Linked DNA regions of Diceros bicornis minor. The protein of the gene in region 4 purifies or fractionates together with the protein of the main gene of each other region. This does not show direct contact. Links are inferred from orthologs where the notes say so. Each region holds a gene or a part of one and is shown on either strand. Other genes may lie near its edges.

Region 1 (8,412 bases), on a different chromosome or scaffold from region 4:
GTTGAGATAAAATTGGTATTTAACATTACATAGCTTTCTGGCATACAGTATTATAATTCAATCCTTGTATACACTACAAAGTGATCACCACCTTAGGTTTAGTTACCATCTATCACCATACAATTGATCCCCTTCACCCCTTTCACCTTCCCTCCAACCCCCTTGCCCTCTGGTAACCACCAATCTGTTCTCTGTATCTATGAGTTTGTTTTTGTTTTGTTTTGTTTTGTTTGTTCTGTTGTTTTGTTTTTTAGATTCCACATATAAGTGAGATCATATGGTATTTGACTTTGTCTGACTTTTTTCACTTAGCATAATACTCTCAAGTTCCATCCATGTTGTCATAAATGGCAAGATTTTCTTCTTTTTTATGGCTGGGTAGTATTCCACATCTTCGTTATCCATTCATCCATTGATGGACACATATGTTGTTGCCATATCTTGGCTATTGTAAAGAATGCTGCAATGAACATAGGGGTTCACATATTTTTTCAAATTAGTGTTTTTGTGTTCTTTGGATAAATACCTAGAAGTGGAATAGCTGGATCATATGCTACTTCTAATCTTAATTTTTTGAGGGATCTCCATACTGTCTTCCATAGTGGCTGCACCAGTTTACATTCCCACCAACAGTGTATGAGGGTTCCTTTTTCTCCATATCCTCTCCAACACTTATTATTTTTTCTCTTTTTGATAATACACATTCTAACACGTGTGATAACAGAGGTGGTATCTCACTGTGGTTTGGATTTGCATTTTTATGATAATTAGTGATGTTCAAAATTTTTCATGTGCCATTTGTATGTCTTTGGAAAAATGTCTATTCAGATCCTCTGACCATTTTTTAATTGAGGTGTTTGTTTTTTTTTGTTGAGTTGTGTGAGTTCTTTATATATTTTGGATATTAATCCCCTGTTGGATTTATGATTTGCAAATATCTTCTCCCATTCCCAAAGTAGGTTGCCTTTTTGTTTTGATGATGGTTTCCTTCCCTTTGCAGAAGCTTTTTAGTTCAATGTAATCCCCATTGTTCATTTTGGCTTTTGTTTCCCTTGCCTTTGGAGTCAGATCAAAGAAAACATTGCTAAGACTGACGTCAAGCAGCTTACCCTTTATGTTTTCTAGGAATTTTATGTTTCAGGCCTTACATTCAAGTCTTTAATCTATTTTGAGTTAATTTTTCTGTATGGTGAAAGGTAGTGGCCTATTTTAATTCTTTCACATGTGGCTGTCCAGTTTTCCCAACACCATTTATTAAAGAGACTGCCCTTTCCCCATTGTATGTTCTTGGCTCCTTTGTCATAAATTAATTGTCTGTATATGTGTGTGTTTATTTCTGGGCTCTCTATTCTGTTCCATTGATCTGTGTGTCTGTTTTTATGCCAATGCCATACTGTTTTGATTACTATACTTTTGTAGTATAGTTTGAAATCAGGGAGCATGATATCTCCAGCTTTGTTCTTCTTTCTTAAGATTGCTTTGGCTATTTGGGATTTTTTGTGGTTCCGTACAAATTTTAGAATTATTTTTTCTAGTTCTGTGAAAAATGCCATTGAAATTTTGATAGGAATGGCATTGAATATGGTACATCCATCTTGATGCACTTCCCTTTTTATAAGTTAAGTACCTCCATAGGCTCTGTTAATATTATCAAGCATGTAATTTATAATTTCTAAAGTTACTGCTTGAGTGTCTAGGTAGTTTGGCTATACTCAAGCAAGTTCTCCCCACTTTGTGTACATTAGTTTCCTAGTGCTTGGGGATCCTTGGGTTATGCTGATGGAAAACCACTGCTGAATGTGATGTAAATGGGGCTAAGTTGATAAACACAATTTCAGCAGGCAAGTTAATTTCATATGGAAAAATAAGAATTTTTCCAAAGCCTAGACTAAACCAGAAATTCTGTTTAATCATTTTGAAATGGATGCCATTATTCAGAGCATACTAATAACGGGGTAAGAGAAGTATGGTTTGGATTTATTATCATTAATATAATATTTCAATTATGGGTGATTTTAATGATAGGAAATAACATTTTTCTGTGTTAGAACAAGCCAGCGTTTTGTATATGTACTGTTTCAATGAATGCATTGTGCTAGATATTTTATTCAACAAATATTAAATGAGCTAATATATATACTGCACCCAGAACAGTCTCTGACACATGGAAGCTCAGCACATGTATTGGCTTTTTGAAATAGGGTACATTGTAATGGTTAAGGGTGTGACTCTCAAGCTGCACCTGGGTTTGCATTTTGGCTTCATCACTTATGGCTTCGTGCCCTTAGGCAAAAGTCACTTACTTTTTGTTCCTCAAACTCTAATGTAAAGAAAGAAAAAAAAAAAGATAATAGTATATCTCCTTAAATCCTTTTGTAAAAATTTAATGAGTAAATATATGTAAAGTGCTTTGATTTGAACAGTGCAATTATTATTAAGTCCTAACTATGCTATGCCCTGGGGAGGTAAAGCTGGTGTGACAAAAACCCTTGCCCTCGAGTGGGTTACTGCAGTCTGGTTCTATAAAGACAGGTGAAAATGATACCGATTCAATATAAGGTTGACATAAGGGAAGCCATACTGTAGAAAAGACACCATATTGTAACTTAGAATGACCTCTGACTTACTCTGAATTTCATGGCCCCTCCTAGCCTCTATAAGTTGATAACTTTGTTCTTTTGAGTTCCTCAGGAACATGATGACTCCTGAGGCCCCACCCTGGGACCAGATGCCTCCCCACTTGGAGACCAGCCCTCTATATAACTGGCCTGTAGTCTTTGTTCTGTAAGATAGTTCTTTGAGACATTAGTCGGCCCTCTTTCTCCTTGCTAGCAAGCTGTAATAAACTACCCTTTCTCTGCCACCATCTTGCCTCTTGATGATTGTCTTTTGTCTCACAGTGAGCAGATCGTGCCCTTTGTGCGGTAACAAAAATAATAAGGGGTTATAATTTTAGGGTAAGTGGTAGAACAGTATAATCATAGGATACAGTGAACACATGTGGAATGGACCCTAATTTTGAAGACTGTAAGACTTCCTAGAGGCAGAAATGGCTAAGCTAACATTTGAAGAACAGGGAGCAGAGAGGAAGAGCCTTTTAGCTGGGCATGAGAAAGCCAATCTCTTTTAGGTGTATTTGGGAACCACAAACAGTTTGATAGAGCTGGGTCATAGAGTGGTATGTCAGGGATTAAGGGGACATGATGCTAAATTGATGGGTAGAAACCAGATAATATAAAGTCTTGGCTGCCATGCAAAAGAGTGGACTTTATGCTGAGGCTGGAGGGTAGACACTGAAAGGTTTTATACAGAAAAATGACATGATTGGACTAGAGTATTAAAAATGATAAATTTGATAAAAGGGGTAATGAGGTGATACATTTGGATATTTAGAAGACAGAATGGACAGAATTTGCTGGCTGGCTGCCTTCCCAAGATAGTCTAGCATATGGTTAAAGGTGTGGCCTTCCTAACTAGACTGATGGGCTACATATTTAAGCTCTTCCATTTACTGTGTGACTTTAGGCAAGTCACTTCAGTTCTCTGAACCTCAAGCTCTCCTTCTATAAGATGAGCTTGGTGTTATCTAAGTGTACTTTACAGGCTTATCGAAGGAATTCAATGATATAATGCACATAAATTGGGTAGCACAGTGTGTTTAGTGTTAGCATTAGCCCAGTAAATATATAAAGTAACAGACTATTACTCAAAAGAAAAAAAAGCAAGTAATGTGGTTAAGTTGTCAGGCTCTAGTCAGACTCCAGTTTAAAATCCCTGCTCGGCCATGTACTGGCTGTGTCACCTTGAGAAAGCTACTTAACTTTCCTACGCCTCAGTTTAGAATTTGTAAGATAGTAGAAGATAATAGCACCTGTCTCATAGTGTTAACGGTAAGGAAGATACGAGATAATTCAGGTAAAGTGCCAGAACATTAATTCATGTAAACAAACATTTATTGGGTATAGGTGCCAGGCACTATTCTAGGCCCTGAGCAAAGACACAATAGTAAATAAAAGAGATCAAAACGAAACAAAACCTACCCTCCCGGAGCTTAATTATAATGAATGTCTGGCACATAGCAGTGTTGTGTTATGTATTACCTCTGTTACAAAGCACGATCCCAAGACAAGTTCTCTGGCCCTAGTTTAAATTGTTTCTATAATTTTTATCATAGTAAAAGAATAATTTTCCATAAATATTTATAGTGGTAATAGGTGGGACCTAAAGATACAATCCAAGATAACTCAGACGTTGGCAAGACACCAGAAATGGGGAGGGGGAAACACGAATTTGAGAAAAGGTCGGCTGATAACACTTGGAAGGCATTCCCACCTTCTCGCGCCCAGGGAAAAGCTATGAGAGGGCCCCAGCACCTGCCCGAAACCTTCCTAAGAAGGGATGCTTATAGCCTGTTTGCTTAAAGCAGGTTAACACACTTGAGGAACGACCTGGAAGGGAATAAACAGTAGTTCCCCCCTTATAAGGTATGCAAACACCAAAGAGATCGCCTATGTGATTAGTTCAAATGCCTCTGCTGTCAACAGAGTCGCGGGGGTTTTGCTAACTGGACCTTTGAACGCGGTCCATTAAACGATGGAAAAGCAAGGCCGGACTCAGCCCGGGGCAGCCCGGAGTAGCGAGGCCGCGATCCTCCGTTGCTAAGGCAACCGACTGGACGCCGGCCAGCGGAGAGGGAACCTGAAACCTCGGTCCCCGGGGGGCGGCCACCTTCCTTCCGTGAACACGGGTTTGTTTTGTTTTCCACGGTGGGGAACGCGCAGTGAACACACATGTCCACGGGGCTGCTAGATTCGTCCCCTGTGTAACCGGTAGAGGGCGCCAGAAAAGCCAGCTCGCGCTTAAACAGCAGCCGCCTTGCGCCCTCACCGCCACCACGGCGTCGGCGACTCCCTTCCCGCGCGAACTGAATTCCGGCCGAGAAAGCCCCGCCCCCCGGGGGTAGGAACGGCCCCACCTCCTCATAGCTTCTCGCGATCGTCGCCACGGAGCGAGCGATGCGTAACTTCCGGCCGCGACGCCCCGGCTCTTCGGCGATTGGTCCATTTCCGCGGCCCGCTGCGGGACTTCCGGTCAGGCTTCCGGGGTTGCACGTGTGGAGAGGCCTGAAGAGAGGGGGCTGCGAGCTGGGTGTCGGCGGCGTCCGGGACGTGCATGTGGCCTCTCCGGGGACTCGGAGGGTGCAGTGGTGGCCCTTCTGTGGGGTGAGCGCCGTGCGGCTGCAGCATGGTGAGCAAGTGTCGTTGTCGCGGGGGCGGGGCGCTCGGGTTTGGCAGAGGCCATGCTGGTTCCGCCGGCGCCGCTGGCCTCTGCCGCCTGGGCCTGGGGGGGCTGTCCGGGGGCGCGGGGGGCGGCCTGCGGCACAGTCTCCCCGTGTGGGTCACCCTCGCACCCCGGGAGGACTGCGGTTCAGAGTGGGTCTCCCACGGACAAGCCTCCCTGGGTAGTGGGCAGAAGAGGATGGCCTCCCCTTTCCTCGAGGGGCCTGACAACCTGTGACATGGGACACAGACACGCCCCCTGTGCTTCATTGGGTCGGGTGGAGAGGGAGTTAATGGTCTCTCCAGACCTGGGAGTGACAGGTGTCTGCCCGTTCCTTTGCTCCGGGGAAAGGAAACTTGGGGGAGAGTCTCAGGTTGGTCCCAAAGCAAGATGGCTTCCTCCGCTGGGACGATGCTTTCTCAGTTTAGGAGAGCAGCATTGCGTAGCGAAATAAGAACGTAGACGGGGCTGACGAATCTTACCGAGCTTTAGCTCTTGTGTCTTGGCTTCATTTGGCAGTTGGTACTTGAAGTGCGTACCCTGCTTGGACCTGTCGTCCCCAGATTTTCTTGTGGCAGCCTCCTTGTCATTCTGGTTCAACCTGTCAGGGACCCTGCTCTGAGCACCCAGTCTAAAGTAGCTCCTAAGTCATTTGCACGTCACTGCTTTGTGTTTTTCTCTTTATCTGAAATCATTTTCTTGACCATTTGCTTGCTAAGAATGGGGACTTGGTCTGACTTTCCCATCGCTGTATTCCCAGCACCCGTAACAAGGTCTGGCACAGAGTAGGTGCCCACAAATGTTTGTGGAAGGAAGGTAAGTATAGTTTTTGTAGAACATAGGTGATGTTGTCTGCTCTAGAAGTGAAGTTTTAAAAAATCTGTTGATCCTTTACTTATTGAAGACACCTATTTGGACTATGATACTGTTCACTGTTTTGTTTTGTTTTAATGGCTTGTTCTGATTCTGTTCCTTTGAAGCCTCACAGAAAGAAAAAGCCCTTCATAGAAAAGAAGAAAGCTGTGTCTTTTCACCTGGTGCACCGGAGCCAACGTGATCCTTTAGCGGCGGATGAGACTGCACCTCAGAGGGTTCTGTTGCCGACACAGAAAGTAAGGCCTGTGTTTTAGCCAAAAAGTCTGTAGGTGGACTGTTGGTGATTTTTAATAAATTATGTTAGCCAGCTGCTCTTCTCAGATACCTGTGATCTTCCGGGAAGCAAATCTATGACTTAATTTTCAGTAAACTTGCTGATTTTTACAGGATGCATTTTTATTTTGGTTTAGAGGATAAAACATCTTTATTTGAGATGTTTAAATGAACAAATCTTATAAAGTAATGGTAAATATTTACTAGACCATCAGCTATAATGCTGCATGGTGTTATTTAGGGCACAAATGTGTTCAGTCTCTGCTTTCCCTAAGATCCTGCCATTTCGTAACCACAAACTGCACTTTGCCTCCTGGTCGCCCATTTCCTGAAATGTACAACATCGAAACTCGTGAGTTAGCTTTAGAAAATGCCGGGGAGCCTTTAAAAAGTTGATTTTGTAATTATCAGTCAGAGTATACTTGTTTGTTTTTTTTTCTTGTGAGGAAGACCAGCTAACATCCATGCCAATCCTTCTCTTTTTGCTGAGGAAGAGTGGCCGTGGGCTAACATCTGTGCCCATCTTCCTCCACTTTATATGGGACGCCGCCACAGCATGGCTTGACAAGTGGCACATCGGTGCACCCCCGGGATCTGAACCCGGGCTGCCAGTAACGGAGCGCATGCACATAACCGCTACGGCCCAGGGCCAGCCCTAGAGTATACTTGTTAAGTTTGGGTAATGTGAAGGGCAGTGTTGGGAAACATTGGGCTATTTAGCTTTTCAGTAAAGCCAGTTTGTGGTGTATGTTGAGAAGCTTCTTGGCATATAATTATAAGAAATTGTACTTACATTTCAAGGCCCTCTAGTCTTCTAACCCCCCAATTTCATGATAAAACAAAGAGTGTGTGTGTTTCTTAGCTTGAATTGTTGCACAGAACTGTCTAGTGGAAGGAGGATTGTTTTCATTCCATTTTAATTTTATATGGCACTCGCTTTTAGAAGCTTTGTGTTTCCTGAGTTTGTCCAGAATTCTTTGTCTCATTTCTTTCAGCCAAAGTGTTCGTGTGCCATCTGCCTCCTAGTCTGAAAGCTGTGCTCATTGGAAGGTTCCTATGCCTTACCCTTGGAAGAGGTGCTAACTCCATTTTGTTTGTTACGCTAGATAAATGATGAGGAAAGGCGAGCAGAACAGAGGAAGTACGGCGTGTTCTTTGATGATGACTACGACTACCTGCAGCATCTGAAGGAACCGTCTGGGCCCTCAGAGCTGATTCCTACAAGTGCCTCCAGTGCACGCAACAGGAGAGACGAAGAAGACACTTCAGTAATTTCCGTAAGACTTTTCAGCAATTTAAGTGTGAGAGAGAGAGTGTGGGGGTGAGTGAAGAAACCACCATTTTTAAATCAAGATAACTGTTTGGGGCAAGAAGTGGTGTCAGTCTGAAGAGCACAAAGACAAGCCGTGCCCTCACTTAAAATTGTGTATGTGTGTGTGCACATGTGGACTTTGAGGACAGAGTAGCCCACCTGTTCTCTGGTGGCAGCTGTCAAAAGTAACAGCCTTTGACAGAGTTAGAACTTTTGATTGATAGACATGGGCATGTTAGCACCTTTAATAGAAGAAAACCAGCTGACGTTCTGTATGTTAACAACTTAAGTGTTACAGCATCATAAACTGTGTTCTAAGATAGAACTTAACTCTCATGGAACGTTCAGATCTTTCGCACTTGTAAAAAACTATAGGCTAACCGTAAGAGAGAATAGAGGCAATAGATTGTAATGAAGTTCCTGTTACTCTTTTCAACAAAAATGCAGTCCAGTTTAGTACTTTATCTTTTAAATACAAATGAGAGTACATATTTATATGAAATTAGTGCTACTAATTTAGGTTCAGTTTTTCCCCTTGTTTATGTTAAGGATGCCCATGTTGCATGCTTTTGTTATCTTTTATTTAGTTTTATTATAAATTTCTCTGTGAAACTTTTATGTCACTTGGCAGTTAAAAAGAGACATTCATTTATTGGGTTTATGGACAAAAG
Region 2 (7,563 bases), on a different chromosome or scaffold from region 4:
ATCTAGGAGGCCTGCCTTAAATGTCAGTAGATAATATCAATCCACTGGAATAACTGCTTTCTTCGGGTTGGTAAGCAGTTTTCAATCTGGGAAGACTTAGAATTAAGTATAGCAATGTTTATGAGAATTAGACCCATTGTACGGATATGGTTCAGTTAAGAGAAATAGTGCATATTTTGTTTTTTATATACCCATAACGTAGGGGACAATGTGGCCTGTTTAGAGTGACAGCCTAGTAGCAGTTATTTGAAATGCATATGTGAGTAACAGATTTAGACTAATTTTTTAGGTGAAGCCTAGTTATTTCTGTATTGGAATGTCTAAAGAAAGCTTTAGGATCCTTAACACATGTTTAGCTTATTGGATTTATAAGAAGTTGTTAGTTTTCATTAAAGTTTTGTTAAATCAGTTTCTTAAAATACTAAAAAAAAAAAAAAATGCTTGAAGTGATGCAGCTGCTGACTCTGTTCCCTCAGAAAAAGGAGGAACAACCTACACGCTGGGCACCGATTCTATCCCTCAGCCCCGTGTCGCTCATCAGCTGCACTCAGGCCTGACATGGGCAGGCTGCCTCGCCCTCTGCTCACAGCCTCTAGGTCTGCCCGGTCCATGTCCTGGGGCCCTCGATTCTCCCTCACCGCCCTCATCCAGGTGGCCCACCCAGCAGCACTCTTGGGGAGAGGGAGAGATGACAAAGTACACCTTTCACATTTGGGTTTGCAGCTGGATTTCCTAAGACGGCCATTTTTCATCGTGTGCTTCAGCTACCTGCACCGCTGAAGGCTTTCCTGACCTTCCCGGGCAGCAGGCGTGTGTTGCTGTAGTGTGCCTATCCTCCCTGAGCCAAGGCTCCCCACTACAGTACAGCAAATGCAGCCTAAGGCTAGTAGGAAGAAGGGCACCATTACGTTGCATCAATGACTGATCCCTGAAGTCAAACAGGGCCCTGAGCATAGGGAAAAATGGCTGGGCTGTCATTAAGCCTGTGCACATACTTTACTCGGAAGAGTAGGCATGGAGTTACCTCCTGCCCTGTTAATCTGGATGAGCAACCTAGTGCAAGTACATATGATATTGATGTAGCAAGCATGGGTCACCTCATCTCCCTTAGGTACCCTTTGGTTATTTCCATCTGCAGAGTTTACAACACAATGGACTGAGGTACTTGTTAGAAGTTGATATATTGACAGTAATGCCAATTTAATAATCAACTGTAAGGTAGATTCAGGTTATCAATGCTAAATGAGCTAGTGAAGGCACTGCTGTATTACAGCATAGCAAAGACTCTGGTCATAATAACTCTCAGCCCTCCTGAATAAACAAATCTGAACTGTATTTGTTAGGCAGAGTCCTAAGCAAAATTTGACTCCAGTGTCTCCAATCTTCCCTTTTTACTATATTTCTTTTCTCTTGTTGAAAAACCTCTCTCCTCTAGGCACTGAGTGACTTTCCTCTGACCTCTGGAAAGTCAAATCTTCCTAAAGAAGGATGCTTGGCTGCCCTCCCTAAGACTCCACCCCCTGCAATGCCAAAATTTTTTCTTGTATTTCATTTATTAGGCCTCTGTTCTTCCTGCTAAGCTAATAGGGGATATATACTTTCTGTTTCCAGGTAATACTTTCATTTTAACAGGAACTGGAAATAAAGTATCGACTTGAAGGTTCCCTGTGAAACCTAATTAAAAAACAGTTGTGAACATTAAAAGGATATTAAGGGAACACTATGAACAACTCTAGCTGCATACATTCAACAACTTAAATGAAATGGACCAAAAACTAAAAGTATAAACTACCAAATCTCACCCAATGTGAAATGGATAATTTGAATAGCCTTGTAACTATTAAAGAAATTGAACTCGTAATATTAAAAACTCCTGAAAAAAGAACTCTCCAGGCCCTGATGATATCATGGCAGAATTCAAACAAATGCTTGAAGAATTAACATCAATTCTGCACAATCTTTTCCAGGAAAAAGAAGATGAAAAAACACTCCCAACTCATTTTATGATGCTGGTATTAACGTGCTATCAAAACCAGACAAAACTAGTACAAAAAGAAAACTATAGACCAATGTGCCTCACGAACACAAAAAAAATCCACGACAAAACATTAGTTAATGGCACCCATCAATATGAAAAAGAATTGTAATTCATGACCAAGTGGGGTTTGTTCCAGAGATTCAAGGCTAGCTCAATATTTGAAAATCAATTAATGTAGTCCACCATATTAACATGCTAAGGAAAACAACTTACATGATCATATTAATTGATGCATAAAAAGTATTTGACATCACCCACTCAGGATAAAAACTCTCAGAACAGGGATAGAGGGTGTCGATGCAAATAATCCATAAAAAATCCATAAATCAAAATTGGGGCGAGTTTATTCTGAGCCAACTCTAAGGACCATATAGCCCAGGAGAGTTCTTCCACAAAGGAACGGAGCACTCCAAAGTGGGGTGTACAGAGTGGTTATATACCATCGAAGAGCATGCATCACATATGACTGGAATGTCCCTTTTACAATAGTCACGAGACTGCTTTGCCAGCACAGCAATTTGATGAACACAGCAGGTCAGTGGTTGCAAGGTGGGTGGTCACAAGATGAGCACAGCAGGTCAGCAATTAATCCTTAGTTTAAGGAGAGATGCTTGTCCTTACGGAAATGCCAATGTGGGGGAAGTTACATCCTTATCTTAACGGCATTGTTCTTGTCTTTGGGACATAGTAAATACTTACAGCAGATATAAAATGCATGCTCAACGGCCACGTCAGGCCATTTTGGAAAAAGAAGTTTGGGCCAAATTAGTTTTACACCAAATGGCTTCCTCATATACTCCAACATCCTATTGCCAGTCATTTATTTATCAAGGGGAACTTCCTCAATTTGATAAAGAACATCTACAAAAAACCTATAGTTAACATCATACTTTCTGGTGAAAGAACACTTTCCCATTAAGATGGGGAACAAGGCAAGGATGTCCACTCTCACTACTCATATTCAACAAAGTACTGGAAACCAGAAAGGACTTTACTGAATGCATCCTTAGACTGCCACTTTGGTACAGTGGCAGAAAGCCAGGTTGAAAAGCAAGAACAAGAGTAAGCAAATGGAAATTCTTCAAGGGGGTTCAGAATGATCACCCAGTTGAGTTTACAAATGCAGCTGTTCTTTACTGTTCTTTCTTGAACAAGCTTCAAGTTGATTCTTCATTTTCCAAGGAGACAGTTGCGTTTACATTAGAAGAGACTATCTAGCTGAAAATATCTGAGATGCAGTCTTAGCTTAGTGAAGGTGGTTGGAAATCCTAGAGATCATCTGGTGTACTGTTTTCAGGATTTTTCACAGTGCCTGGCCCACAGCAGATAAATGTCACATGTGACACACAAGGAAACTGAAGCTCAAGTAGATTAAACTACCTGACCACAGCCAGATAATCTGTTCCCTACGTGGGATGCTCCTTCCCTGGCGATTAGCTCCCACATCTCTGGTTAATTCCATCTCTTCCAAAGACGTCCCTGACTTCCTAAAGCGTGGACCTTGCCCCCACGCCCCCACTCATTTTACTGGCACATGTTCTTCCAGTTTGCACCATATGTCTAGTCTACTCCTTATGCGATGTCCTCCTCACCACGCCCTGAGGGCACGGATCCAGTCGGTTGCCTAACAGCCGGCACCCAGCGCAGTGTTAGCAGAGTACCGGCACCACGTTACTTGTGAATGAAGTTTCCAGCTCCTCTCCAGGGCAGGGCCTCCTTTACATGAATTTGAAGAGACAGAGGGCAGGACGCAGGCACTTTCCCATAGAGGCGTCTTTGAGTTGAGTACTTGTGATCCACTGCAGACCCACCTGCCAGCCCGACTCTCACCACAGGCATCCCGCAGGTGGGACTGCCCGCTCGGCCCCGCCCCCCTCCGCTCTCCCCGAAGGGCCGCACCGGCCCCTCCAGCCCTTGTCCACGCGGGCAGTGGTCCCCAGCGGGCCGCGCCGAGCCCCAGGACAGCGGTCTTGGAGGACCCGTCCTCCGCGCCAGCAATCCCCCCGAGAGCCCGGAGTCCGCGGCCCACGACCGGCGGGCGTTGACTAGTAACGCCCCCGGCTTCCAGAGGCCCTGACAAGCAGCGTCCACAGGCGGAGCTGGAATCCTGGTCTCTGATTCCTTCCACTGCCTCAGCGGGAAGTGAGCGTCCCCGGGTTAAGTCAGCCTTTTCCAGACGTCCTAGCTTAGCGGAGAGCCCAAGTTCCTTTCTTGGGCCCAGGGCTCCCGCCCAGACCCCGGTACAACTGCCTGGCTCCCGCCTCGAACCTCGGTAGCCGGCCCATAAATTCCCGCGAACAGCACCGGAAACGAGACGCCTACGGCGGAAAAGCGTAACCGACGGAATGGTCCCCCGGAGCCTCTTCCTGGGACTCTCTAGGTTTCTACCGTTTCTCAATGGTACTTCCGGTTTCTCCCTGCGCTGTTCCCGCCTCTTCCCTTCCGCCGCCGGGATTTGACGGGCTCTCGCGAGACCTAGGCCTCTTCCCGGGCCGGCGCTCATCAAGGTAGGTGTGCGGCTTGTTGTCTGTCGGCACTTTTCTGCCGACTTTGAGGAAAGCACGCTTTGGAGTCAGCCGTGGAGCGGCGGGCCCTGATCGGCGGGCGAGGATACGGCCGATTACGCGGCCCGTGCCCCCCGATGGCTTCGGGGCGGGCCGGGGCGGGGGCCGGGGCCGGGTTCCCAGGCGGGCGGGCGGTGGCGGTGGTCTGCGCCCGGGTCGCGGAGCCCCGCCCAGCCTAGAGCGCGCTGTGCTTGCAGCAGAAGGCCATGTTCAGTTCGAGCGCGAAGATCGTGAAGCCCAATGGCGAGAAGCCGGACGAGTTCGAGTCCGGCATCTCCCAGGTGAGGGGAGGGGCGGGCTGGGCCCCCGTCGCGTGCCCCCCGGTCGCGTGTCCCCGGCTGCCTGTCCGCCTGTCGCGTGTCCCCCGGTCGCGTGTCCCTGTCCGCCTGTGGCGTGTCTCCTGTCGCGTGTCCCCTGTCGCGTCCCCCGCCGCCTGTCGCGGCCGCGGGTGTCGGGGCCCGGGGTGACCGCACGTGGGTGGCCGCGTGGGCCGGGCGCTGAGGCGGCTCTGCTCCTGTGCTGCAGGCGCTCCTGGAGCTGGAGATGAACTCGGACCTCAAGGCCCAGCTGCGGGAGCTCAACATCACGGCAGCCAAGGTGACCCGAGTCCGGTCGGCGGGAGCGCGGCGGGGGTCCCGACGGCCCCGAGCCGCTGGGCCGTGCGGCGGGTGGGGGCGTGTCCGCGTGCGGGGCCTGGGGGCCCGGGCGGCGGGGCCGGCGGTGCAGAGGGGCCGGTGGCTGTAGTCTCACTGCCCCTGGAGTAGGACGTGGCAGAGAGACGGGAAATTCTCTGAGGCCTGCTCTCGCCATTAACTTGCAACAAGCATGCGTTACAAGTTAGCTCTGGAGGTTAGACTTGGCTCCTAATTTGACCGCAGCGGGTACTGTTTACTGTCGAGGCCGTCGTCCTGCCTCGGTGTATCTGTTTAGCGCGCAGGTTACCGAAATTAGTTGTTAATATCACGTCTTGGCTGTAGAAGGTACAGCGTGCCTGGAAAGTCAGAGCTTGCGAAAAGATCTGTGCAGGGGACAGCCAGCCTCATCTTTGGTAGCAGACGACTTAGATTTACTTCCTGGGGTAGAAGGTTACCCGTGCGTGCTGGTTGTCAACTAGTTCACGAGCTGCAACTTGCGCGCGTCGGATTCGCGAGGCGTGAGCAGGACTGACGGTGAGGCTGTGGTACCGGCAGCGAGAGATGAGCTGGAAAGGGGTTTAAGAAAGGAGCGCCCACGATGCGCGTGTCGCAGTGATGACGGTGCTCGCGGTGAATGTCACCACTTGATGTTGTACCTGGGGGAAGAATGGAGGTTATGAAGTTAAAATAGTGTCGTTTTTTTTTTTTCCTTTAGGAAATTGAAGTTGGTGGTGGTCGGAAGGCTATTATAATCTTTGTTCCTGTTCCTCAACTGAAATCTTTCCAGAAAATCCAAGTCCGGCTAGTACGTGAATTGGAGAAAAAGTTCAGTGGGAAGCACGTTGTCTTCATTGCTCAGGTAGCTGTTGTTGAATGTTTTATTTTGTGAATTTGTTAAAATCACTTGTGTTTAGACTTTGTGTTGATGGGCGGAATAATTAAAATAACCTTTTTGTGAATACAGAGAAGCTACTTCAGTAGGGTGCTGGGAGAGTTGTGCTTGCAATGGGTGGAAAAGATAAAGTACACTTTTGCTAGTAGTACTAAAATGGTTTTCACGTTTGCAATGCCATAAATGTAGTGGGTTGCTTACAGAGGTGATCAGACAAACTGAGGTGTGTGGTTACTCTGAGCCGTGATTTTTCTGCCTGATAGAATTGCCTGTCTGAGGCTCTCACTGCTCAGGTGAGTCAGATGTAGACTTTGGGAGGAAAACAGTTGCTAAAGAATGGTTGGTAAGAAAAAGGGCAAATAGTCAAGAAAGGTTTTTTTAAAGTTCAGATCTGGCCTTGCTGCCAACAGAAGTCTATGGGAATTGAGAGGCAGACTGATGAGGAATTAAAGGAATTGTATTCTGGCTCAGTAACCATATTAGTACCTGTGTTGGGTAGTGGGCCTGATTAAATGTGGAAAGGTACGTAATATTTGGGAGATAAGTCAAATCATGAAGTAACTGATTTTTTCCAGTACTATTTTAATAGAAGCTATGATTCTAAGCGAATTATTGAGAAATCAGGAAGCACTTCATTGGATTTCTCAATAACTTGTTTAATCTTGGTTGTTTGGTTTTCTTGAACTTTGAATTTATTCTTAATAAGTCTTTGCTTTTAAAGCAGTTTGACAGTTCTTAGCTTTCTGCCAACTTAAAGTCCTTTTTATTTTTTATTTTGTTGCATGATAATTTTTACCTTAGAGGAGAATTCTGCCTAAGCCAACTCGAAAAAGCCGTACAAAAAATAAGCAAAAGCGTCCCAGGAGGTGAGTATTGTATCAGCATCAAAATGTCTGTGCTAGTCTTACTAACAGCTCTTGATTTATGTGGGTTGTTTATAGTAAGAGTTGCAGTAGGTGTCTAAAATAAATACTGGTAGTTTCAGAAAACCGTTAACATGGGGAGTTTTGTAGAGTAACTTTTGGTATACTCTGTAATTATATGTAGAATGTTTTCAACTTAACTCACATAGGTAGTATAGTAGGTCACTGCTGTCATAAAAGGTACGACTCTTGCCTCCAGTTCTTGGGGCAAAGAATAGGAGCAGCGAGAAGGAAGCGTTAGTTTAGTGCTGTGGATAAAGCACACCAGACACAGTGGAGGTGGGCTGGGATGTATCTGCTTTCTTTTTGCTGTGAAATAAGGTTAAAAAAGGACGGATTTTCTGTTGCTGGTGTCACTGCAGCCTTAGGTGCTGATGGACGCTGTTCTGTGAAACTGACTGACTCACAGCCTGTCGGGTGTGAACTCAGATGTTGATGGTTGGCGCCTTGATCTGGGCCTTCTGGTAGTTGTTCAAGTCTCTGGTTACACAGACTTGGATTATTGGATTCC
Region 3 (7,780 bases), on a different chromosome or scaffold from region 4:
CGATACTATTTCCACTCCTTGATTCTTGGACCTATGTATTCTACCTCTTGGGGACCACATAAAAGTTATCAATCTCTTAGAGGATGGCAACCCAAAATCACAGGGTATCACCTCTGAGCTGACACTTCAGCAGTGCCTCTAACAGGCTGTTCCTTCAATAGACTTTCCCGTCATTCCATCAAACCAGCAGTTTCTGAATGGTGTCGTATGTGATATGAGCAGGGATCCCATGGTCATATGCATACTGTTGTATCTCCTTTGAAGTAAAGTGCAGTCCCATGCTGTTAGAGCAAATATTCTGTAAGCCTCACAATCCTGGTGCAAGCTGAGGCCCTGCAGACAGGAAAAGCAAGTCCATGTCCACGTATACTACTATCAATACGAATCTCTGGCTCTGGCTCTTGTATGGTAGAAGAGGCCCAATGTAGTCAATTTGACACCAACTGACTGATTAGTCTCTTCAAGGGATGGCATCACACTGGGAACTCAGCATTGCTGTCTGCTGAAGGCGGACTGAGTGTTCAGGAACAGCAGTAGCTCTTGTAGCATTGGTAATTTGGATCCCATGTTGTCAGGCCCATGCATGTCCTCCTCCATCCCTGCTACCATAACTAATTCATTTGTGTACCAATTGTGCCTTCATTAGGGTGGCAGATTGCAATGACAAAGGCTGACTATCACCCAGACAGGGTTTTAGTCTACCTGGTTGTTTAGTGCCTTTTCTATGTTAGATGATTTCCAGTGGGTATTAATATGCAATCCAAAGATTCTCATACTTCTTGTCCACTCTCATATACCCATTCTCATGCCTCTATCTCAGAATTCCTTGTCCCTAATATAACCATTTTTCTTCTTCCAGGCCCTTGAGCAACCAACCAAGCTATTCACCCCTGCCCCTGAATCCATGTATATTCTAACGTTGGGCTATTTCTCTTGCTACACAAAGTGGAGGACCAGGTGCACCTCCCAAGGCTCTGCCCATTGGAAGGATATTCTCTGATCACTTCTCTTTCAAGGCCACCCAAGTGGGGCAAGAGTTCAACCACAATTTCAAACTGACTCACCCATGAACCAAATGTGGGCTTTTTTTTCCTTTACTAGCTGATCATAAGAGATCAACCATGGAGGTATGAGCTGAGGAAGAGGCATCTGGACAACAGTAGTGCATGACATGGAGTCTAGGCTACATACTCACGCAACTTGTTGTGCCCTCTGGTCCTGCTTGTGTTCAATCCTGAAGGCACCACTTTCACCTTATGATGGATTGTTGCTGAACTTGCTCAACTTTATATAAGATGGTTGATCCAACAGAAACCAGTTCATTAAGGCCAGTTGTGGCTACAATATCACCTGTACCTCAATGTCAGGCACTTTAGCTCTCTTGGGGCTCTGTAGCACGCCAGGAGCTGTTTTTTTAAAAGGCATTTCATTCTCTGTTGCATATTCTGCCATGTTCCAGAACTCTACAAGTTTGCATCGTGAGTCTCTCATCAGAATTTGCCATAAATTCCACACAACCATATATTCCATACTATGTCTTTTCTCACTGCTGATATCTCTAATACTCAAATGTATGGCACTATAGCCTATGCACAGTAAAGCCTATTATAATTTTTCTGAGTTTTAGCTAGTATAATACCTTAAACATAAATAGATCATTTTTCTTTTCCTTGACTCAATTTTTTTATTCAATCTCGTTCAAATTTTTCCATAATTAATCTAATTTATGGACTACTGGAGGTTAAAAAGTGGACAGAATCATTAAAGATAAAGGGCTACAGAAGATTAGAGGAGGGAGAGCTTACTTTCCTTTGGGATTGTAATAGGTTGAATAATGCCCCCCCGCCACAAAAGATATCCATGGAACCTATGAATTTACTCTATAGGGCAAAACAAAAAAAAAGATTTTGCAGATGTGATTAAGGATCTCATTGAGCCCTAAACACAATTACATGTATTTCTGTAAGAATGAGACAGAGGGAGAAACACACAAAAGTGAGGAAGGCAATGTGACTACAGAGGCAGAGAATGAACTGACACACCAACAAGCCAAGAAATCCCAGCAGTCACCAAATGCTGGCAGAAACTGGAAGAGGCAAGAAACAGCTTCTCCCTTACAGCCTCCGGAGGGAGCATGGTTCAGAACTGTAAAAGAATAAACTTCTATTGTTTTAAGCCAACAAGTTTGTGGTAATTTGTTACAGCAGCCCTAGGAAACTAATACAAGGATAACAAAGACAAGCTTTGTGGGGTACATAGGATTTGAAGAATGGTAGGTAGGATTTACATATACGGTGATTGGAAAGAAGAAAAATGAAAAGGGGGAGGGAAGGCGAGCATTATAGATGAAGGGAAAAGGCAGTGAGACAGAAAATCAAGTGAGCTGTACAAGGAAAAAACAAAGTAGTTCAATTACACAAGAGTATATACTACTTGAGAACAAGTAATAATACAGATTATTGAAGATCTTGAATGCCAGCCTAAGTTTGAACTTTAATCTGTAGACAGTCAAGATCCTTCACAGCTTGTGAGGACAAGCTGTATGTTTGTGTGTGTGTGTGTGTATTTGCATGTGTGTGAAGGGAGTGAGGGTCTGGGAGGAGAAAATAATAATGTGATAAATCTTTTGCATAACTCTGTCATAATATTCTCTAATGTTTTATTCATTTCTTCCTACCACAAGGCTCAAGAGGTGGGATTGAGTTTCACCAGGACCAAGCAAAAATTCTGGGGTATATGTTTGATAAACGGCAAATGAGAGAATGAAGAATATTGTGCATTTTTGTTTTAGTCATTAGTAAGCATGGTATAATAGAGTAGAACAGAATACTGAATAGTACTTGCATCCCTTTTACTCTTCAAGGGTCTATGATGATTTTATTAAAATATATATATATACTAATATTGAAAGTATAAGAGATTTGGGCTCAGTGTGATTAACCCCAGGGAATACTCCAGAACCAGGACAGCAATTCTAGCCAAACCCAATCAATTAGTGTGGTTGTCTGGAACACAGTTGAGAAGTAAAGTTTGTGCCATAATAGATTAGCAATGTCTGCTAAAGCGTTGGATTAGGAGTAGACACCCAAATGACTTGTTTCCATCCCATTCTTGCTCCAGAAGTTAGTCATTTGGTTTCCTTAAAAATTTTTCATTTTTATGTCTTCTTATGTGAAGGACAGAAAGAAAAATTCCATTTCCATGGAGGTTCCATTAGCTGAGCATGGTTAATCAAAGATTTACTGCATTCATGTTAAAAAGAAGCCAAAGGTTATAGTGTAGAGGGGATAAAGTGGTGTTCTGCTTTCTGTCTTCTATGATTTCAGAGTACTAACTATTCTGGCTGGAAAGACATGGCAGATTCAACTGCCTGCCTTCTAACTCCAGTACACATTTTATGCAAGGGCTAGCTCTGTATTTGAACCAACATACAGAGTAGGGCTTGGAAAGAAGGAAATTAGTACATCAATCAGTGGAACCCCAAAAAGAAAACAAAACAACAAAAAAAAATGGAACTCTGTAAATACTGAAGTCCAAAGTTTGCACTGAAAGTTTTGAGACTGGACCCAGACAGAGGCTAAACAGCCGTGGTTGGAAAGGAGGTCAAGGCTGGAGTGGACCACAATCTTCTGTGACCACATGCAGCAGCCACACCTAACGTGAGGGATGTACCAAAATAATTGCCTTTTAAAGGTTTAAAATACAGTTCATGAAGCAAGATATAAACGCAAACCTGTATTATCATACAAGTTTTCCTATCCTTGTTGCTGTTGTAGGGAAGGTATGGTAGAGTACCCGCCCTCTTTGTCGGGGTGCTAGGGTCCTTCTCCGATTAAAATTTTTGTGGATGTAGAGAAGAGTTCCGGGGCCAGTGTGGGTAGCCTCCTAAAGCCCTTAAATCGCTCCTGGGCGATATCAAACCCGCGTAGGTCCACTCCGAACCATCAAAACGCCCACTGTCTTCGGAAATGCCCGGGAGAAGCAACGACGACAGCTCCACCCTCCACACGTCACCCTAAACCCCACCCCCAGGAGGCGCAGGCGCACTCCGGAGTCTCCAGGACCAACTTAAAGACGTACTGAGCAGGCGCAGTAAGAAGAGTGGTTGCTTGTGTGACTGCTATTGTTTTTATCTTTAACGGCCTTGGTTGTCTGGAGTCGCGCTCAGGTTCCTTTTCCCTCTCTCGTTGGAGCTCACGTTGCCTAAAGTAGGAGTTGCTGTTTGGGAATAAAACTTGATAAAAGTTACCACTTAGAGGAAGGTCGCGTCCTTTAGGCAGCCCGTCCTGACAGATTATGAAAAATGAAACGGCATATTGTAGCGAACACTTACAGTCCGCCAAGTCCGTCACATGACAAAAGCACTTTACAAAAAAATACCTTGCCTTGTTCCATGCTTTATGCTTCTTATAACCCAGAAGACGTTTTAGTTTCCCGTGCCAGAGAATAGTACTTGTGTTTATTAACAAGGACCTGTAGTGAGGAGCAGCGCATGCGCGAGCACCCGCGGCTGCGAGACACGTGAGAGCCCCGGGCCCGGCTTGCTCTGCGCTCTCGGGTTGTTGTGGAAGAGGCTTCTGGGCTGGGTCTGGGGCCGCCATGGGGAAGGTGAATGTGGCCAAGTTGCGTTACATGAGTCGGGATGACTTCAGGGTCCTGACCGCGGTAAGAAGTTCGCCGTTTCCCCCTCTCCCCTGTCCTTTCCCTGTCCTCTTCCTGGTTCTCGAAGTTTGCCGGCAGCCGAGCGCGCTCCGGACCCGGGATGCAGCCGGCCGCGGCTGGGAAGGAGGAAAAGACCGGAGAGTCGGATTATTCAGAAGCCTTTGTTCAGAAGCTTCTGTCTTCCCCCAGATGGAGCAAAGGCCCCTCTTCTAATCGTTTCCTTCCTTTTGCCCCCCTTCTCCTTATGCTCCAGAGCCGCCTCGCATCTCTGTGGCCTGAGAAGCTCTCTGACCCCGGGCTGAGGAGGGTTAAGGCTCCCGAGGAGAATTGGTGGCATTGAGTTCCCCGCTCACAGGCTCAGTCACATAGCGTTCCTACAGTTTCATTCAATCAACACATTGTCCGATTTTTAGTAACAATGTTAGGGAATTCAGCGGGGTCCAAGACAGGCAAGGGGGGGGAGACATTATCAACAAGTAAACGAATAGATTAAGAAGAAGGATCATATCAGGCAGTGAGTACTATGGAGATGGTAAAGAGGAAAAGAAGCGGATAAGGGGTTAGAAACGACGTGCATGGTGGGGGCGGGGACATGAATGCTCTCTTTAAATTGTGTGGTCAGAGAAGATTGGCTGAGTGCAGGAGTCTTGTCTGTTGACCGTTGTAACCAAAGTTTTGAGGCCTTTTTAAAAAGTTCCTGGCACTTAGTAAGCACTGAATAAATTTTTGCTAAGTAAACGAAAGAATGGGGGGAGAATAATAGGAGGTAAATGAGAAGGAGCCCGCACACTGAAATCCTTGGAAAGAGTTGGTGGCAGAGGAAACAGCAGTAGTAAATGCAAAGGCCCTGAGGCAGGAAAAACTTTTTGGAGAATGGAAAGCCCAGTGTGGCTGGAGTTTAATAAGCAAGAGGCTCAGTGGTTGGAGATGTAACTGGAAAAGGTGAGAGCCAGATCATGTGCTATATACAGCCTTGAACTTTGGTAAAGAATTTGGAATATATTCTAAGCATAAGGGAGCCACTAGGTGTTTTTATGCAGGAAAGTGACAAAAACTGATCTTATAGTCTTAGTCTTATGGAACGAAGGTCAACACATAGATTAGGCATTTGTAGAATAAAACAAATTTATTTAGGAGCTATTATCTTTTCCTTAAATAGGCGATACTTAAGGATTAAACTATCAAATGCAAACTCGGTGTGCAATTTGGAAGACACTTTTCTTTCTCCTCACAGATTCAATTCAGCTAGACTTTTTCTAAATACCTACTGTTACTTCTGAAAGATACCTTCCTTTGCTGCTTCCTCAGCATATTTGCTCATTCCGTAATGCCTTTGACAGAACTAGAGGAGTCAAGAGAAAGAACGTTAGAGGCTGCAAGAGACAGAACAAAGCATGGAAGATGAGTGAAGTTTAAAGTGGGAGGTTTTGGTTGGGGCATCAAAATGATGCCAGATTCATCTTCCAAAACTTTGTCTCTGCAATATTTCAGTTCTTTTTTGAAACTCACCAAGGAATGACCTACTCATTAAATATGGTATTTCAGGCTTAGTGGAGTCTCACCAGCCTTGGTATCAGTGGCCACCTTTCCTTGACCCGCTCCTCCCTTTACTTATCTGATGCCTCCCATATCAGTAATCATACTTGGACTGACTGCCCTTACCTTTCTATGTGAACTTCCCCCCAAATTCTCTCCCTCAACCCTCCTTTTTCTTCCGTTATTTCTTGCTTGATGATCGCATCCACTTCTCGGCTTCATCTCTTACCTCTTTCACATAATCGACCATTTTCTCCTTCTAATTATGACTTCATTCCTGAGTATAGATCTCCCTTTCCAGTTTTCCTCAAACATCTTCATTTGAAGGACCTTCCAACTCCTCAAACTCAGTGTCCTCAAATCAAGTTCATTGACTGTATCTACCCCCTTTTACCAAACTCCATTAAAATAATAATATACATAACATGTAATGTAATAAATATACATATATTATTATGATAATTGTGTATTATTATTTATTATGATTTTAAAACCTGCTCTTCCTCTTCACTTCAGTTTTGACTCTTCATTCACTTTACCCTCCCATATCCAATGCCTATCCCTCCCATACTACTTCCTAAAGATCTTTTAATTACTTTTACCAGTACCTCTTCCCTGTTCTGGCTTCTGTTTCCTCTGGCCTGGACTGTCGTTTGCTTCTCTAGTACACCGCCTCCAGTTTTTGCCTTCTCTAAACCACTTTGCATATTCCTGCTAGATTAACGTCCTTAAAACAAACTCTGGGCGCCGGCCCCGTGGCTTAGCGGGTGGGTGCACGCGCTCCGCTGCTGGCGACCCGGGTTCCAATCCCAGGCGTGCACTGATGCACCACTTGTCCAGCCACGCTGAGGCGGCGTCCCACGTACAGCAACTAGAAGGATGTGCAGCTATGGCATACAACTCTCTATTAGGGCTTTGGGGGGTAAAAAAAAAGGAGGAGGATTGGCAATAGATGTTAGCTCAGGGCTGGTCTTCCTCAGCAAAAAGAGGAAGATTAGCATGGATGTTAGCTTAGGGCTGATCTTCCTCACAAAAAAAAAAAATCTGTTCATCTATCTCCCTTCCTAAACATCTTCAAGCGTTTCATACTTTCCTTAGTATAAAATCTAAAACTCCTTGGTCTATATTTCAAGGCCTTCCATATCTTACTCAAAAGCGTTTTCCGGCCTTCTTTTCGTGAACTGTGTGCCAGCCCATCTGAGCTACCGCTGTACTGGCTGTTCCTGTGCTCTGTACTTTCTTGCATGTGTGCCATGTGCACATCTCTTTTTTTTTTTTTCTTTCCCTGGTATTTCCTTGTCTGCTTTTTCTATATTCCTGCATCTCTTGAAGTTGGTCTCAAGTGCTACTTCTTCCTTAAGACTGATCCCTCAGCTAGAAATATTCTTGTTCTGTTCTGGGCCACCTCTTTTTTAGCACTTATCATTTCTTACCTTCTAATAGAGTTAGATTTGTACATTCTTATCTCCACAATTAGATAATAAATTCTCAGGGGTAGAGAGTGTTTTTACATTTTTTTATCCTCCACAATGCCAACATATGGTACTTTCTCATTAAATATCTTTTTAATAAATATCTGGAA
Region 4 (7,624 bases):
CTACCTGGATGTACAAGCTTCCAAATACCTTGTAAGGTGAACAGTCACATCTTTCTTTAAGAAAGCACTTTTTAAAAACAAAACTTTTTACTGATGTAAACATATAGAAAGAGTGTATATCATAATTATACAGTTAGATGAATTTTCACAAACTGAACATGCCTGTGAAACCAGCATCCAGATGAAGAAACACAATATGTGACCAGCACCCCAAAGTACCCCCAACCCTGTCCTGTTTCCTTTCAGCATTTGGGTAGTTTCCAATTTGAAGCTCTTATGAATAGTGCTGCTATGAACATTCTGGACATGTCTTTTGGTGAACACAGGTGCCCATTTCTTTGGATTTATACTTCTAGACAAGGAATTTCTGATGCATATAGTCTATTTACTAGGTTTTGCCAAACTGCTCTCCAAAGTGGTACCAATTTACACTCTCATTAGCAGTGTGTGAGGTTCTAGTTGCTACCAACACTTAAGCCAAGCACTTTTGATGTCCTGGGGGAAGCTGCCAAGAGACAGATACTAATACTGGAGATTAGAGGGATGGATTACCTCAATACCAGTGTAAAATCTTACAGATAAAGTAACCTCGGGGCAGAGCTTGTCTTTGCCATTCTTTGGACAAGGCATGCAGTGCCCTGATGCTGCCCTTGCTCCCAAGGCCCTCACGTAGGACTGTAGTTTGGAGGACGGTAAAGTTTCTAAAGGCTGGGGAGGAAGAAGGAAGGACCAGGAGGCTCCTCCCTGCTGGAAACGGCTCATGGTTAGTGGTTAGGTAAAAGCGGATCAGATCGATCCTGCACTCTAAACTGTTAAAAGCTTCCTAGATTACTTCCCAAGGGGTGTTTGCATTAAACAGAGCATAACGTCACAGCTCAAAGACCTATAGGCATCTGAAGCAGGCTAGTGGGGCAGATTTTGGGGTCAGGAGAACCTATGGGTGCCTCTAGAATTATACCAGAGGTCCTTTGTGAAAGGCCAGCCTTGCCTACAACTACTCCCACTGTTTCTACTTGTTGGAGAGGAAAGGATATGTTTCTCTCTAAATCAAGTGCTGAAAGGGGAAGGGAACTAAGAGTTCAGAGCAAGTCAACCTTTGTCAGGTAGCATACATAGCTGTGGCATACTCTGGACATTTCTCATATTTGTTTAGGAATCATTCTTAGAGTAATACAGATAGCCTTCTTTTTTTTTTAAAGATTTTATTTATTCATTTTTTTCCCCCCAAAGCCCCAGTAGATAGTTGCATGTCATAGGTTCACATCCTTCTAGTTGCTGTACGTGGGACTCGGCCTCGGGTTGGACGGAGAAGTGGTGCCTTGGGGCACGCCCGGGATCCGAACCCGGGCCGCCGGCATCAGAGCGCGCGCACTTAACCGCCAAGCCACGGAGCCGGCCCCAGATAGCCTTCTAAGTACTGAAAAAAGAATCATTGTCATCTCAATCTTTCCTATCATCCTTGACCAACCCCAAATTTGGATCACATCAACAATCCTAGCACTGTTGGGGTATGCTTACTTCTTCGTTCTTGTTTATACTGTTCATATAAGTCTGTCACTAGACTGCTTGTTTCCTGAGGATAATCCCTGTGCTTTGAGATTTGAGATTTTTCTTTTCCATGGGGAGACCAGGGTTGGGTTTAAATGTTGATTCGATATACTCCTGGCCTAAAAAACTCTTTCTTGGCTGTTTCACAGCAAAAGCACATGGAGCTTCTCACACAGCAGGAAAGGTGATGGCTTCAACCACTTCTTGCCAACAAGAGAGAAAAGAACAAATATTAGGGCACAGTAGCCAGGCCACAGTCAAGGCAGGAGAACCATCTAGAGCCTTCCAGGATTTTACGAGAACCCAGAGTCTTCTCTAATCCTGAAACTCTAGGAAGGGGTAAAGGAATCAATATGGTAAACTTTTATATATGAGATAGATATTTTAGAGATGAAGAAATCAAGACTCAGAGGGATTAAGCAACTTATTCAAGGTCACAGAGCTAGGTCCAGACTACTCCAAAGTTTATGCATTCCCACCAGACTTCGCAGTCCCCAAGATCAGCAGATTTATTTACCATAGTCATTGAGTGCCTACTGTGTGCCAGGCACTGGATAGAGAGTAGTGGACAAAACAGATGGGTTTCCTGCCTTCATCGAGTTTCCACATCTGGAGGATGACAGCCACAGAGATGTGGGGGGGGGGGGGCGGGGAGGGAGTTCGTGGCTCCAAAGGCCTAATCTATTCTAATTCACTCTTCCGGTTTGAGCTCTCCAGCTCTCATATGGGGGTGAGTCATTCATATGGGCACCCCCTCCAATGAAACTGAAATAGGCTTTAAGATAGGGTCAAGGTAAAAGACACTAGTAGAGGGCACTCTTTTTCTCTGACATTAGGGGGTCCTCACTCAAAAGGGGAAAAAAAATCTGCGTCTTGAAAGCCATTCTCAAAAAACCCCTGGTGTCTGGGTAGAGAAGTGGGCGTGGAGGGAGAAGCAGTAAGGTGTCCAGCGAACCCTCCCGCAGCCGGGACTCAGTTCCCAGAAGAATACCGGAGGCGGGGGGAGTGTAGGGCAAATGAAAGCTAAACCCCCAAATCACTCGTTTAGCACCGCAGGACGCCAGCGAGGGCCCCGCCCCCTCCCCAAGCGGCGCGGACAATGAATGGGCAGCCCTGGTTCTCTAGAAATCGCCGCCACCCCTCCCCCGACCTCGGTCTCCCAGCGCTGCTGCCGTCGCAGGGCGGGGAGCTGCGGGATCGCGGAGCAAACAAGCCTCGGAGCGTCGGCCTAGCCCCGCCGGCCGAGGGGAGCTGGCTGCCCCCTGATCCGAGGGAGGGCGGGGGCCGCAGCCAGTCCAGGACCCCGCCCCCGCCCGGGGGCCCACGAGCGCCCGCGCCCGGAGGTGGGCGCAGAGCTTTCCGTCTCCTGGGCCGCGCGCCCCGGGACGCGAGCCCCAGGGGGTCCTTGCCCGGACTTTACCTCCTTTTTCACGTTCCAGAGCAGTTTCTCTTTGACTGCGTCCTCTGCGCTGCCCATGGTGCGGCGGGTGGCGGCGAGGCGGCGCCGAGCGGCCCCTAAGCCCCCCGCGCGCCCTCGCCGCCTCCGCGCCTCTCGGCTCAGCGCGCCACGCGCAAGGCGGAGCCCCCGCCCGCCGCGCTCCCCGCCCGCCGCCGCCGCCGCAGCCACTGCCCGGTGCTCGGCTCCGCAGCCATTTTCCGAGCCCCGCACAGACGTCAGGCGGCTGGCCCGGCCCCTTCCCACAGCCGGGGGCGGGGGTTAGGGGGGGTGCGCTCAGCCACGGGGGGGATCGGGGCGGGGGGAGGCTGCGCGCGCCTGGGGGCGGCGGGTCCCCGGGCGCACGCCACGCGGGCTGCTGTCATGGCAACGCGCCCGCTCCCGGCCCGAGGGCGCGAACTCGCATTGTGAGCGCCAGCAGCAGCCCTGCTCGGCGCTGGGTGGGGCTGGGAGCGCCCTGGACGCCGCGGCCGAGGGGAAAGTCGCTCGCGCCGGAGCTGGCCTCAATCCAGCTAGACGCCCCCTGATTTCCACCTGCTCGTTTTCCCGACGGGAAGGGCCGGGGCCCTCTGCATCTCGAGTCTGGCCAACGGGAAGCCAGCGTTAGTCCCCTGGCTGAGAAAAGCCGGAACTCCATCGTTCCTCTAAGTACCCCTGCCAGCTGGTCGCCCTCAGTTGCAAAGCTGGTGGGAAGAGGTTCTGCTGGCCCTGAGGGCTCGAGTATCACGGCCAGCCCTCCCGCCCACCTAGGGTTCGCCACGTCGGGTCCGGCCCTTCTTGCTATGTGGGAGGTAGGGGCGCGAACGGGACCAGCGGGAACTCGTAACGGAGGGCGTGAAGGGGAGAGAAGCGCCTTCCACACGATTCGCCTTGTAGACCTCGGCAGCCTCACAGGAGAATTGAAGGAAAGGTTGCTCAAAGTGATAGAGAACACCTGCTGCTGCAAACTGAGGACTGCGTGCACAAATCTAGGAGAGAGGACGGGCTTAGCCCTCTTCTGCACGAATGGAGAATCTTCCATTCAACATCTTCCTAAGTGATGCAACTTGATAGCGCAAAAAATGAATATGCAGGGGAGCAAAACAGCCCTCCGGCAGCGAGAGCCCGAACCTCGAGTCTACAGTGGGCGTTTTAAAGCGCCCCCACCAAATACTGCCGCGTGGAAAAGTTTACACCTCGGTTCTGCGGAGTCGCAGGCGCTGCGCTCTCAGACGTAGCTGGTAAGTATCCTCGCGAGAGGGCGCGGGAGCCCCGCCCCACCCCGGGGAGGGTCCGCCCCCAAGGAGGAGACCGGAAGCCCTCGATCCGGCCCGGAAGTAGTGCTGACTTGGTACACGTGAGCGGCAGTATGGCGGCCCATCGCTCCGGCCCGCTTAAACAGCAGAATAAACCGCATAAAGGCGGGCGGCACCGGGGTCGGGGATCTGCGCAGCGGGACGGCAAAGGTGAGAAGCTAGGGTTGGAGGAAGGAGGGCTGTTTAGTCGATATTAACTGCTTTTTCCTCATGTCCAGACTGAGCTCCTACCTCCGGCCTGCACCCTGCGCTAAAGCTCTTTCTAAGGTGGGCGGACTGGCCTCCTCTTTCTTGATCTTCCTCTGAGGCCCAGCACAAGAGCCCTTTCTGATCTCCCCTCCAGGCCGTCTAGCGCTGAAAACCCTAAGCAAGAAGGTGAAAAAAGAGCTCAGCAGAGTAGATCAGAGGCATCGCGCCAGCCAGCTCCGAAAACAGAAGAAGGAGGCGGTGAGAGGAGCGGGGATTGGGGGATGGTGTGGCTTCACAACCGTTCTAGGCGGTTAATGCCTCGAACTAGAAAGTGTGGCCCCGGAAAGGGGCTTGGGATGGAGACTAATCCTAGAGCGTATGTCAGGCGTGCAAGTCTAGACTCGCGCTAGAGCATTCTTTGCCTTGGTCCGACCCCCCTGACATGCATATCGCCTTTTACAAGAGAGATGCTGGCTGGGAGGAGCATCCGTACCGTTGGAAATGCGATGCTGGAACGTAATACTGAAACATTGAGATGTTCTCTAATCCTTTGTACTCCCAGGTTCTGGCAGAGAAGAGACAGCTGGGCAGCAAGGATGGCTCACCTCATCAGGTACTGGTGGTGCCCCTGCACAACAGGATTTCTCTGACAGAGGCCTTTCGGCTGCTTCAGGATAGCGAGTCTGGAACAGTACACCTGAATAAATGGGGAAGCACCCATGGCTTTATGCTGTTATGCCCCCGCTTGAAACATCGGTGGTTTTTCACATCTGCAAGGCCAGGTTGGAGCGTGCAACAATATTTTCTATCATTATGTTTTAAGTAGTATTATTTTTTGAGTATAATGTGCTGTTGCCAACCACCTCTTCCTACTGACTTTGTCTTCTTTCTCCAGGGGATCTGCACACTGTGTTAGACATGGCTAAAGTAGCTGATACCATCCTGTTCCTCCTTGATCCACTGGAAGGCTGGGACAGCACTGGGGATTACTGTCTTTCCTGCCTCTTTGCTCAAGGCCTTCCCACCTATAGTAAGTGAGTTGGGAGTATTGGAGGCCAGGAAAGGAAGTTAATTAGTGTTTATTGTGCACCTGTAGTTTGCCAGGCACTGTCTGTCACTTGATACAGGAATACAACGGGTGGATTGTATTCAGCCGATGGTGGATTGTACATGTAGGCTTAAACTTGGTCCATTATTTACATATTACCTACTGAGGTGCCTTTTTATTTCTGGGCTGGCCTTTGCCCAGAGGAAGAAGAATATGAAGTTTGGTTTTACTGTGAAATTTCTTTAGGGTAGCTGACCGTTGGTTTTCCCAGTGATCTCTGGCCTCACAACTGAACTGTTAGCTTGTTTGTGAACTGCAGGGGGCATTTTCACATAGTGAAGCAGCAGGTCAAGAAGCCCTTTCTCTTTTGTTTACAGCACTTGCTGTCCAGGGGGTTTCTGGCCTCCCACCGAAGAAACAAATAGATGCTAGAAAGAAGTTAAGTAAAGCAGTGGAGAAGCGCTTTCCTGATGACAAACTCCTCCTGTTAGACACTCAACAGGAGGCAGGAATGCTGCTCAGGCAGTTGGCTAACCAAAAGCAACGGCATCTTGCCTTTCGAGATCGGCGGGCCTACCTGCTTGCTCATGCTGCTGACTTTGTGCCTGGTGAAGAGAATAACTTGGTGGGCACCTTGAAAATCTCAGGCTATGTTCGTGGGCAGACTCTGAATGTAAATAGTTTGCTGCATATCGTTGGACATGGTGATTTCCAGATGAAACAGATAGATGCCCCTATGGACCCTTTCCCTTTAAATCCTAGAGTGATCAAATCTCAGAAGGACCCAGGCATGGCAATGGAGGTAAGATTGATGTCTTAAAGATTGTGAATTGTAGATAAGTGTGTAAGCTGGTGCAGGATGTGAACTAACTTGAGGAGACAGTAGTCTGCATACCTAGACTACTACTAGTCCCTGGAGGTGACTGCTAGTTTGAAGGCAGTAGTCTACAAATATGTTGATATATCACATATTTATCCAGCATTTTGTAGGTGCCTTGCACAGCAATTGGCTCTGAGTTTATAGAAGACACAAGATGCAGTCTCTTCCCTCAGACAACTTACTTAGGTCTGAAAAAAATGGCAAACACCTGTGGAATAAAGAATAAGAAAGTGTATTTGAGGAACAGACCTGCTGTGGAAGTTGAGAAAGTAGACAAGCAAGCTTCACAGGAGAGATCAGACTTGAGCCAGGTCTTGGTAAGGGTGCATGTGATTTATGAGTTGGCGATGAAAGACTATCCTAGAAGATAGAGACAATGTGAACCTAGACACAGTGATGGATCAGAGGGTTTCTTTGAACTCTGAAGAAATCAGCTTCATGGGAGTAAGATAGGTAATAAACTGGTAGGAGTGGGACCAGATTATGAAAGGCCTCAAGAACGAAGCAGAGATATAGATTTCAAATGCTAGGAAATAGAACTATTTGAAAAATTTTGACAGGTTTGGCTTTCTGTTTCATTCTAGTTCATTCATCTTCTACTTGAGGACTATGTTATTTCTGGATCTTTCTGGTTACTATGTTAGAATTAGTAGATTTTTGGTTAATGTTTGACTGACCATCACCTGCTTTTGGTTATCAGATTTGTGCTATGGATGCTGTAGCTGATATGGAGGAAGACCTTAAGGTCCTAATGAAGGCAGACCCTGATAGACAAGAATCTTTGCAAACAGAGGTTATCCCAGATCCAATGGAAGGGGAACAGACCTGGCCCACTGAGGAGGAGCTGAATGAGGCAAATGGTTGGTATTGACAAAGTTGTTTGTAATTCATCTGGCCTGGAATTATAGATTTTGTCTAGCTCCTCACAGTCAGGACCCTATAAGGAAGAGGGAGATGAAGATATATTTGGAAGTCTGTTAGCCCCAAATGCTGTATGTTTGCGTTAAGCAACATACAGCATGAAGTGAAGTTTGTTATTTATTTATTTATTTATTTATTTATTTTTTCCCCCAAAGCCCCAGTAGATAGTTGTATGTCATAGCTGCACATCCTTCTAGTTGCTGTATGTGGGACGCGGCCTCAGCACAGCCAGAGAAGTGGTGCGTCGGTGCGCACCCGGGATCTGAACCCCGGGCCGCCAGTAGCAG

What was found.
Region 1: the proteins of TSR1 (region 4) and LTV1 purify together in Homo sapiens (co-immunoprecipitation; 4 studies listed by BioGRID and IntAct, counting the BioPlex papers as one, with this or other methods). This does not show direct contact. The link is inferred for Diceros bicornis minor from reciprocal best matches to the Homo sapiens genes TSR1 and LTV1.
Region 2: the proteins of TSR1 (region 4) and RPS7 purify together in Homo sapiens (co-immunoprecipitation; 4 studies listed by BioGRID and IntAct, with this or other methods). This does not show direct contact. The link is inferred for Diceros bicornis minor from reciprocal best matches to the Homo sapiens genes TSR1 and RPS7.
Region 3: the proteins of TSR1 (region 4) and RIOK2 fractionate together in Homo sapiens (co-fractionation; 3 studies listed by BioGRID and IntAct, with this or other methods). This does not show direct contact. The link is inferred for Diceros bicornis minor from reciprocal best matches to the Homo sapiens genes TSR1 and RIOK2.

Annotation. Positions count from the first base shown.
Region 1 is NC_080778.1:23,096,237-23,104,648, forward strand, and holds the start of LTV1 (protein LTV1 homolog), read left to right. Parts: upstream 1-5,100; 5' UTR 5,101-5,244; coding exon 5,245-5,247; intron 5,248-6,260; coding exon 6,261-6,392; intron 6,393-7,535; coding exon 7,536-7,706; intron 7,707-8,412. UniProt on the Homo sapiens protein: Essential for ribosome biogenesis.
Region 2 is NC_080751.1:75,267,380-75,274,942, reverse strand, and holds the start of RPS7 (small ribosomal subunit protein eS7), read left to right. Parts: upstream 1-4,459; 5' UTR 4,460-4,545; intron 4,546-4,799; 5' UTR 4,800-4,808; coding exon 4,809-4,883; intron 4,884-5,127; coding exon 5,128-5,199; intron 5,200-5,952; coding exon 5,953-6,096; intron 6,097-6,930; coding exon 6,931-6,995; intron 6,996-7,563.
Region 3 is NC_080740.1:22,746,117-22,753,896, reverse strand, and holds the start of RIOK2 (serine/threonine-protein kinase RIO2), read left to right. Parts: upstream 1-4,516; 5' UTR 4,517-4,599; coding exon 4,600-4,665; intron 4,666-7,780. UniProt on the Homo sapiens protein: Serine/threonine-protein kinase involved in the final steps of cytoplasmic maturation of the 40S ribosomal subunit. Involved in export of the 40S pre-ribosome particles (pre-40S) from the nucleus to the cytoplasm.
Region 4 is NC_080757.1:15,535,140-15,542,763, forward strand, and holds the start of TSR1 (pre-rRNA-processing protein TSR1 homolog), read left to right. Parts: upstream 1-4,337; 5' UTR 4,338-4,352; coding exon 4,353-4,449; intron 4,450-4,642; coding exon 4,643-4,746; intron 4,747-5,050; coding exon 5,051-5,270; intron 5,271-5,383; coding exon 5,384-5,518; intron 5,519-5,913; coding exon 5,914-6,338; intron 6,339-7,116; coding exon 7,117-7,276; intron 7,277-7,624. Other genes in the region: SGSM2 (small G protein signaling modulator 2), read right to left, coding at 2,969-3,025. UniProt on the Homo sapiens protein: Required during maturation of the 40S ribosomal subunit in the nucleolus.